Linked DNA regions of Rattus norvegicus. The protein of the gene in region 2 interacts with the protein of the main gene of each other region in a pairwise test. Links are inferred from orthologs where the notes say so. Each region holds a gene or a part of one and is shown on either strand. Other genes may lie near its edges.

Region 1 (4,288 bases), on a different chromosome or scaffold from region 2:
TTTTTATTTTGAAACAGGGTCTCATTAAGTTACCTAATCTGGCCTTGAATTCAGTCTGTTGTCCAGGCCTTGAGTTTGTGGTCCTCTTGTCTCAGCCTCAGGCATAGCAGGGATTCAGGCTTGTACTACCAGGCTTGGCTAGAGATATTTCCATCTTTATGACAGAGGGCAGGGGGTTGCTACTGGCTTCTAGGGTTCGAGACCAGGGATGCTGTGAATACTATAAACATACAGGTAGTCTCAGTTCAAATTATCTGATGCTAAACACCAGCACTGCAGTTGTTAAATCCCTTGCTCATGAGCAGAAGTTAGTTAACTCGCAAGTGGTGGGGATCACCAGGATCTGCTGGGGACGGCTGTCATCATTTGGTGGGTCTCAACACACCTAGAATATCCTTTGCTTGGGATCCCATGCAGCCAGGGACCCATAGCCCAGTAGGCACGCAGTTTAGGACAGGCCTAAAACATCCTTAAATTTGTGCCCCTACCAGACCAAAGGCGGTTGTGCTATATACTAATACTATTTTAAATATTAGTAGTTACTCCCGATCACATTCTTTGTTTTAAAGTCATTAATTCCAGAAATGGAAATGTTTAAATTACAGAGCACTCCAAATTTGTATTGGCAGATTTTCACTTATAAACGTGTTCCCATTTACACAGTTGTTTTCCTTCTGAACAAATGAAACAGACTTCTAAGATGCTCAGTGAACTTTAATAACCAGGATTGACAAGACTAATATTGATAGCTGCGCAGTACTCACTGTACCTTTAAAATTCTTTTCTCCAACTCTAGGCACAGCCTATTCACATTTTATTTGCGAGGAAACTGAGGCACAGCACAAAACAATTGAAGAAGTTGCTTAGACTACGCAGCTGTTAGACAATGGGGGTCAGGCAAAGTTCATCTCTTATCTGGGAGTTACAATATTGTGGCCTGTTTGCATCTGTAATTATTTTCACTAACGAGCCCGGCAGCATCTGCTCTAATAAACCCTAGCTTCTGGCTGGGGCGCGGCGCTGGGGAAAAGCTCTCATTGCCCGAGGGCACACCCTAGGTGGGGTTCAAGACACTGTGGAGAGCGTGCTGCACGCCTACTGGGTAAAAGAGGGGGCGGGGCGGGTGGACAGGCACAGTTTAGAGCACGCGCCTAAGTTGCTACACTTTTATTGGCTCCAGAGCGGTGAAGGCGGGGCAGGTGGGCAGGGCACAGCAGAGAGCGTGCGTCTCAGCCGCTTAGCTTGCACAAGTTCACTGAAGGAAGGCGTGGTTTACTGTTATCTTACTTAGGGCGGGGTGGGCTGGCGGGGGCACAGTCGGGGTCACGCACTTCAGCTTTCGCGCTTCTATTGGCCGAATCAGGAGGCGTAGCTCTGTGATGGCTCCGACTCCGCCTTGGGGCGGAGCTTTGGGGGCGGGGCACAGGCAGGGGCGGGTGTTCTGGGCAACCTTCCTGAGTTCCTCACTGGGTATCGGCGAGCAAGGGAGTGCTTTTGGGTTTGGCGATCAGTTCCGCGGGAGTCTTGTCAGGAGCAGGATGGCGGCTTCGGGCGAGGCGCGCCGAGTGCTGGTGTACGGCGGCAGGGGTGCTCTGGGCTCGCGCTGCGTACAGGCCTTCCGGGCCCGCAACTGGGTAATATTGCGAGACGGCCGCTGCAAGCGGCAGACTCTAGGAGAGCGGGGAGATCCGGGACTGTCGGCCATGTGCACCCATGACTAGGCTGCATGCGCACGCACCGGTCTGCTCTGGGCCACAGGTGCCTGGCCTTCGCCCTGTGAAGAGCGTGGGATGTAGGTGCTCCTTAGGCCTCTTCCAGGCCCAGAAGGTCCAGCGTGACTTGGGAGGGAAGAGGAGCAGTGTGAGCGAACTGGGAGGGGAAAGGCAAAATGAAGACTCTGGAATTGGGCTGCCCTAAGTTACTAGCCTACTGACCTTGAATTGGTTACTTAATGCCGGCTAGCCTCAGTTTCCTTGTAAAATAAAATGATTATGTTCCTGTTTATTCTTGGGCCAATCGTAATGAATAAATGAGATAATAGGTAAACGCCGTTTAAGTGCTAGGTGTTACCGACACTGCAGCCTGTGTTGCAGGCAGTATTATTAGCCTTGTTGGAACTGGTAGTCGAACGCTCAGCCCCTCAGCTGCTGACATCTTTGCTTAGTAAAGGATAATTCAACTTTGTCTAGTCGTGTGTCCACTTCCAGACGGTGGCAAGTGAGTGCAAGGCTGATGTTGGCTCCAGCCTCTTAGCAGGGATCAGAATGGCTCAGCATAGGATATTTCTAGAGTCAGCCCTGGAGTTTGGAGCACCTTCCTGAGAGTTTAGTTAGCAGAAAGCAGCAGCCTGGGCAAAGGATCCCCTTTGCAGAGAGGGACACGGGATTTTGTTCTGGCTTAAGTGTGGTACAAGAATAATACCACTACCTGTTTAGAATCTTGGAAGACTGGGATGTCTTCACAATCTGCGACCTCAGAGAGTGGAGACAAAGGGAGCACTGAAGGGGTGGGGTGTGTCTACCTCCACTGAGCCCTGCACTCTTTATATCAGCTCTCCCTGACTCAACTTCATTGATCCTCTTGTACTGGTTGCCTTTTATTGTCACATTGACAATCTGGAGTCACCCTGAAAGAGGGACCCTCAGCTGATGAATTGCACGGGTCCATTTGCCTGTGGCCCTATCTGTGAGAGCTTGTCTTGATGGATGCTTGATATGGGAGGACTTAGCCCAGTATAGGTGGTGAGGAAGGTTGAACCTTGGCTGCCTAAGAAAGAAGCTGAGCGTGAGCCAAGGAACCAGCCAATAAACATTGATCCTCCTTGGCCTCTGTATTGAGTGGGATATACTAATTTACCAGGGATTCTGTTCCATCTTCTTCCTGGCACCCTAGGGAGGGCTGGGTGGAGCCGGCTTTGTATTATTCCCCATAGTTTGGGGTATACAAGTAATGAGTGCTGAGTGAGGCTGTAATTGCTCCTAAAGGTAGATACTGACATCTGGGTCTTCAGTCTGAAGGAGCAGGAGGTTTCTGAAGGAGTGGGCATCCTTCATGTCATTTTGTTCTTACTGACCCCGTTAATCAGTCCCTCAATTTCTGTGGTGGAGGAGATTGTCACTTTATGGCAGAGCCAGCATTGATACCCGAGTCGGACATCCACACGGAAGGCTCATCTGCCTCTGCTGAAGGGAGGGGGGGTCTTCCATAGGACACCCGGACAACTGTCATCTCTATGAACCCAAGAGCTGTGAATTGCAAAGGGTTTTACATTCTGAAATGGTTTTATAACACAAAAAGAGCGTATAGTTTCTGTTCCAGCATCTGTCATTTTCAGGATGGCCCATCCCTGTCCCTCCAACTCCATATTGTTTTTAGCTGTCTCTTGTGTTAGCAGGTTTAAGTATTGGTGGCAGAGATCACCACAGAGTGACCTCAGGTGTCTTGAGATACATGTAAGGTTTGGCCCTCAGAATCCACCAGGAAAGGGGAAGAAGGTTGTTCAGAGAACAGGCTGGGATGTGCTGAGGTAGATGGTGGACCAACTGCAGTCAGTGGTCCCTGAAGGATGTCTGGTTGTTATTACCTTTCTCTAGTGGGTTTTTACTTAGTATTTGGTAATGATCCAAAGATCTGAAATGTTTCTAAACCCTGAACTTTTAAAGGGCTATTTGATTCCCCAGATGGGAAGTTTTAGGCCATGAAGCCTGTTGCATGTTCAAAATTATTAAAAGTACTATGTAAAATTACTTTTAGACTGAGTATATAGAGTGTATTAAACATGTGGATTTTGTGTTTAGAGTTTAGTCTCATCCCCACGATAAGCATATACAAATATTTCGGAATCCCAAACTGGAAACTGGAAACTGGAAACATTTCATGTATTTCAGTTTAAGCCTCTTCACCTTTTCTTTGCTTCTATTTCTGGGGGTTGTTCCTTTGAGAAGTCACAACCCACCAACTCTTGACCAAAGCTGTTTTTCTTGCTTCAGTGGGTTGCCAGCATTGATGTGGTGGAGAATGAAGAGGCCAGTGCCAGCGTGATTGTTAAGATGACAGATTCATTCACGGAGCAGGCTGACCAGGTAATTCTCTTTTTTTTTTTTTTTCTTCGGAGCTGGGGACCGAACCCAGGGTCTTGCGCTTGCTAGGCAAGCGCTCTACCACTGAGCTAAATCCCCAACCCTTGACCAGGTAATTCTCAAAGGTCCCTCACTGTGACAGGAGAAGCCCAGGGAGGGTTCCCCTGGCTTTGTTCTTTGTCTGCCAATTCTAAAATCCTCTAGAGGAA
Region 2 (4,299 bases):
GTACGCTGCAGCTCACACGAAAAAAGGGTATAGAATCCCAATGGTCATGAGCCACGATGTAGTTGCTGGGAATTGAACTCCGGACCTCTGGAAGAGCAGTTAATGCTCTTAACCTCTGAGCCATCTCTCCAGCCCCTAGGTGCCGTCTTTATGTCACTGTATCCTGTATTAGCTCCATTCACTCTTCAAGGACTCCAGACCCGAGCAGAATGGACGTGGTCAGTTTTCTTGGACAGCCTTCGCACTCATCTGAAGAGATGGGTTGTGTATATAGAGCCAATAAGGAAGAGGGGGTGCTTTGCAGGTTGCACTGGAGGACTTCGTGGCAGCTGTAAACACCTGGGCAGAGACAGCACTTGTTTCTTCGTTGTGACGAGAAGACACAGTGTCTGAAGTCGCAACCCAAAGGATGAATTTTACTTGTGCATACTGTGGACCAACCTGGATACTCCTCTGGGCCACAATCCTAAATCTGAGTGGTTAGCTTAGTGAGGCTGATGCGGGATAAACCTTCACGGCAAGCACTTTGAATTATAGCCGAGTTGGAAATTCAGACAGAACAGCGGTTTTCAACAGGGCGGTTTTCTTCCTCCAGGGGAAAAAACTGCCCGTGTCTGGAGACAGTTTGGGGGATAGTGTGAGTACTGACAGCATGGAACAGGCGAGCGTCCACCCTAACTTACAAAGCATCGGATGACCTCCGCGCACAGAACCCCCCAGTTCAAACACTGCAAAGTTTAAAAGCCCAGAGACACAACTACCCCGATAGTGAGGGTATCTGGTGTCACTTATCCGGGGTCCAGATCTCCTGTGAACACGATTTCACGCTGCCCACTTCCAAAATGGTTTCCGACCAATCGCGGAAGGCGGCGGCTGAGGGAGGCTCCAGTCCGATGGTTTGGTCCAGGCCTGCGCGTGCACCCCCGGGCGGCAGAGCCGATGGAAGAGGCCCGATTGTGGAGCGCACCACTGGAGAAGGCCGGGCAGGGGACGAGAGTCGGAGGGCGCGCACAGTGGGTTTTGTGCGTGGAGATCTCGGGCTTCCCAAGGGTCCCGCAGTTCCACAGAACGGTGGTGGTCGTGTGTCCAGGCGTGGGGGCTTGGTGGGGCGACATGGAGCGGGACTCGGTCCGTTCAGGAAGTCAGGTCCCCCTCCGCGGAGCGTGATGGAACGCCTCGCGTACTTCCCTGTTCGGGGCGGTTCGGCCGGCAGCAGTCGGTTCGCTAGCTGTCAGCGCGGGCGCGAGCGCGCGGGGCGCGGGGTGGGCGCGGCCGAGCGGGTCCCCGAGCCGGTCCCCAGCCCGGCCCGCGACCCCGGGCCTCCCGCGCCGCCCGCTCCGGACTCGGAGGCCCTTGTCGTCCGCTGCGCCCGGCACTTGGCCGCTCGCCGCTCTCCTCCCCTCGCTCTCCGTCCGGTCGGGCGGGCCCCCGAGACCCCGTCGGGTGGGTCCAGGTTGGTGGCAGGCGGGCGGTCAGGCCTGGGTGGCGACCTCCTCGCCATGTCCTCGGCCCGCGACACCAGCAGCCGCTTCCCGCTGCACCTTCTGGTCTGGAACAACGACTACCGGCAGCTGGAGAAGGAGCTGCGGGACCAGGTGAGGTGCGCGGCGCGGAGTCAGAGTCGGTTCGACTCCCGAGTCCCGGGATCTATCAAGCGCTCACCGTAGACCGGGCCCGGTGCCTTGGGCTTTTGGTCCACTCTCCCCTTTCTGATATCACTAGGAATGAGTGCTTAGTATTCCGCTTGACCGGGAAGGAAATTGAGACCCCAGAGCCTACTTGCCTTGCGCAAGGCGCAAGGCCACCGAGCTAATGAGAACCACGTCGGGATCTTTTATCTCAGGCCGGCTGGCCCGGGAATTCACCTTTAAGCTTTATGGCCTCGAAGACGGAAGAGCGACACACACACACACACACACACACACACACACACACACACACACACACACCCCTTACTCGAAGACGGAAGAGCGACACACACACACACACACACACACACACACACACCCCTTACTCCACCCGCCCTGGTGCTGGGGAAGAGCTTGGTTGGGTTCCGTGGACCGGTTCTAACTCCTGTGACCTTGGGCAAAGCAGTTATGTTCCGGGGCCCACTTTTCCTTACCCATAGGATAAGGGTGTAGGCAGTGATGACGGAAAGCCCAGTCCCTGTCTAAATTGATGGGGCTGGGACGGGGCCTAGGAATCAGTGCTTTTAACGAGCTCCCCAGGGTAGTTGGTTTAAGTGTGAGAGTCTCTGCTGCTCAGTCCTTAGGACCCCCCTGTTCTGAAGTACTTTGGATTTTTGTTGTTGTTGTTGTTTTTAATATTGCCATCTTTCTAAATCAGCGGTTCTGAATATTTGGCAGTGCAAGGAGAAGTTTGGGGCTGTTGTGACATGAGAGGTGGGTACTGTTGGCATGGAGTTGGGTGGAGGCCAGGGACCCCGCTGTGCCCTACAGTGTAAAAGGCAGCCACCCACCCGCAACAGAGTGTTACCGGACTCCAAATGTTAGTAGAGCCTTGGTTGAGAATCTTGGTGTTATATTATTTCGTTTGTTTGGGTTTCTTGGTTTTTCTCTGTTTTTGCTGCAGACAGGGTCTCACTGTGTAACCCCTGCTTAGCCTGGAGTTCACTGTGTAGCCCAGGCTGGCCCCAAACCTGGGTGAGGAGTGGCCTGCTGAAGGCTGAGCCACCTGGATGGAGACTCCTGGCATTAAGGGCGCTGCAGTCATTTCATTAGGTATGGGGTGTCTGGGTTGCTCTCTAACCTGTAGCAAATGAGATAAGGATTTGTAATTACTCCCGAAATCCACCACAATTGTTACTGTAGGCTTCATTCATGTTAGCCTGTGTGTCAGAGGCTTGCTTTTGAATGACTTACCGCTGACTAGTAACTGTTGCGAACCCTTGGTTCTTTTGATTGGTAAACATTGCCTTGCTGCTGTTGGAACAGTTCTACTCGGCCTTGGTTTATAGCTTGCCATATGTATTTTTAGTTGGATGGGCACCATGGGAAGTCAAAAGTCACATTTTAAAAATAAGGATTCCATGGCGGGCATGTCGGCGTACATCAGCAACCCAAATCGCCCAGGAAGTTGAAGCGGGAAGATCTGGAGTTGGAGGCTAGCCTGGGCAACTTGGTGAGGGCCTGTCTGAAAATAAATAAGAAAGGGTGAGACAGCCTGTGGGGCCCGAACACTTTTCTGTTGTGTGGGAGGCCCTGGGTTTCATCCTCAGGTATGTGGGGGATGGGGGTGGGGTCCAGACAGGGCAAGGTTCTGTAAGAGTCATTGTTCTTAATTAGATGACAGGGTAACTACTTAGGATTTAAAGAGATATGACACATGCCCCCAGAGAGGATGATTCACTGCCTGCTATCCCAGTATACCTGCTGATCTAACTCTCACACAGCTCAGAGGCCTTCTCTAGAATCTAAGCTCTTACACCCATCCACAAGCCCCATTCCGGACACTTCAAGAAGTAACCAGTTTTGACTAGATGTGGTGGCCCCCGTCCTGGAGGCCGGGGCAGGAGAATGACAAGTTCAAGGCCAGTCTGGGCAAGTGTGACTCTGTCTCAAAATAAAAATATAAAAAATGCAGAAAAGGACTTGAAGCACCTACAGCTCAGGGTTAGAACATGGAAGGGTTCCGGGCTCCGGGTCGTTCTGCTGAGGACAGTGGTTCGAAGCTCACACACTGTTGAAAGTACAGAGAGTCATGTCACGAGATTAAATCCCATGTGATAGAAAGATTCGTTATCACACCTCGGACTTCAGGCCGGAGTTCTGAAAGCAGCTTTCTCCTCACTGAGGAGGGAGAGCTGTCTGCAAAAGTAAGAGACAGGTCTTGGTCACGATCTCAGCAGTGGCCGAGTCACCGTTTCCTGAAAAGAAAAAAAAAGTGATAAAGGCATGGAAGATCTGTTTTGACCATGTCAGACCTTAAGAGCATTTGTAATTAAAGTTTGGGAACTAAAATCTTTTATTTTTGTTTTGAGACGGCGTTGCCGTGTAAATCTAGGTGGCCTGCAAGTCATCTGTGTAGCCCCGGCTGGCCTCAAACCCTCTCAGTAGTCTCCCTCCTCAGCCTCCCCTGTCCTGGGGGTCATAGGCTTGGCAGGGTTTGGGAATTAAAAAGTCTTGCTGTAGATTCGATGGGAGAAAACTTAAGGTCATTGCTGTCCTTGACTTCAAGGCTGAGAGAGAATGCTCATGTACTTGCCGGTTCTTTGGTCCTCTCGGTTTTGAGGCTGTCCTAATTTAACACAATGGGTCCCTTGACGGTGTAGCACTTGTG

What was found. The genes of interacting proteins can lie anywhere in the genome.
Region 1: the proteins of Ankrd13a (region 2) and Qdpr interact in a two-hybrid assay, tested with the Homo sapiens proteins (2 studies listed by BioGRID). The two-hybrid records come from large-scale screens. The link is inferred for Rattus norvegicus from reciprocal best matches to the Homo sapiens genes ANKRD13A and QDPR.

What each region holds. Positions count from the first base shown.
Region 1 is NC_086032.1:69,881,288-69,885,575, forward strand, and holds the start of Qdpr (dihydropteridine reductase), read left to right. Parts: upstream 1-1,488; 5' UTR 1,489-1,538; coding exon 1,539-1,634; intron 1,635-3,989; coding exon 3,990-4,082; intron 4,083-4,288. UniProt on the Homo sapiens protein: Catalyzes the conversion of quinonoid dihydrobiopterin into tetrahydrobiopterin.
Region 2 is NC_086030.1:47,485,657-47,489,955, reverse strand, and holds the start of Ankrd13a (ankyrin repeat domain-containing protein 13A), read left to right. Parts: upstream 1-1,499; coding exon 1,500-1,595; intron 1,596-4,299. UniProt on the Homo sapiens protein: Ubiquitin-binding protein that specifically recognizes and binds 'Lys-63'-linked ubiquitin. Does not bind 'Lys-48'-linked ubiquitin.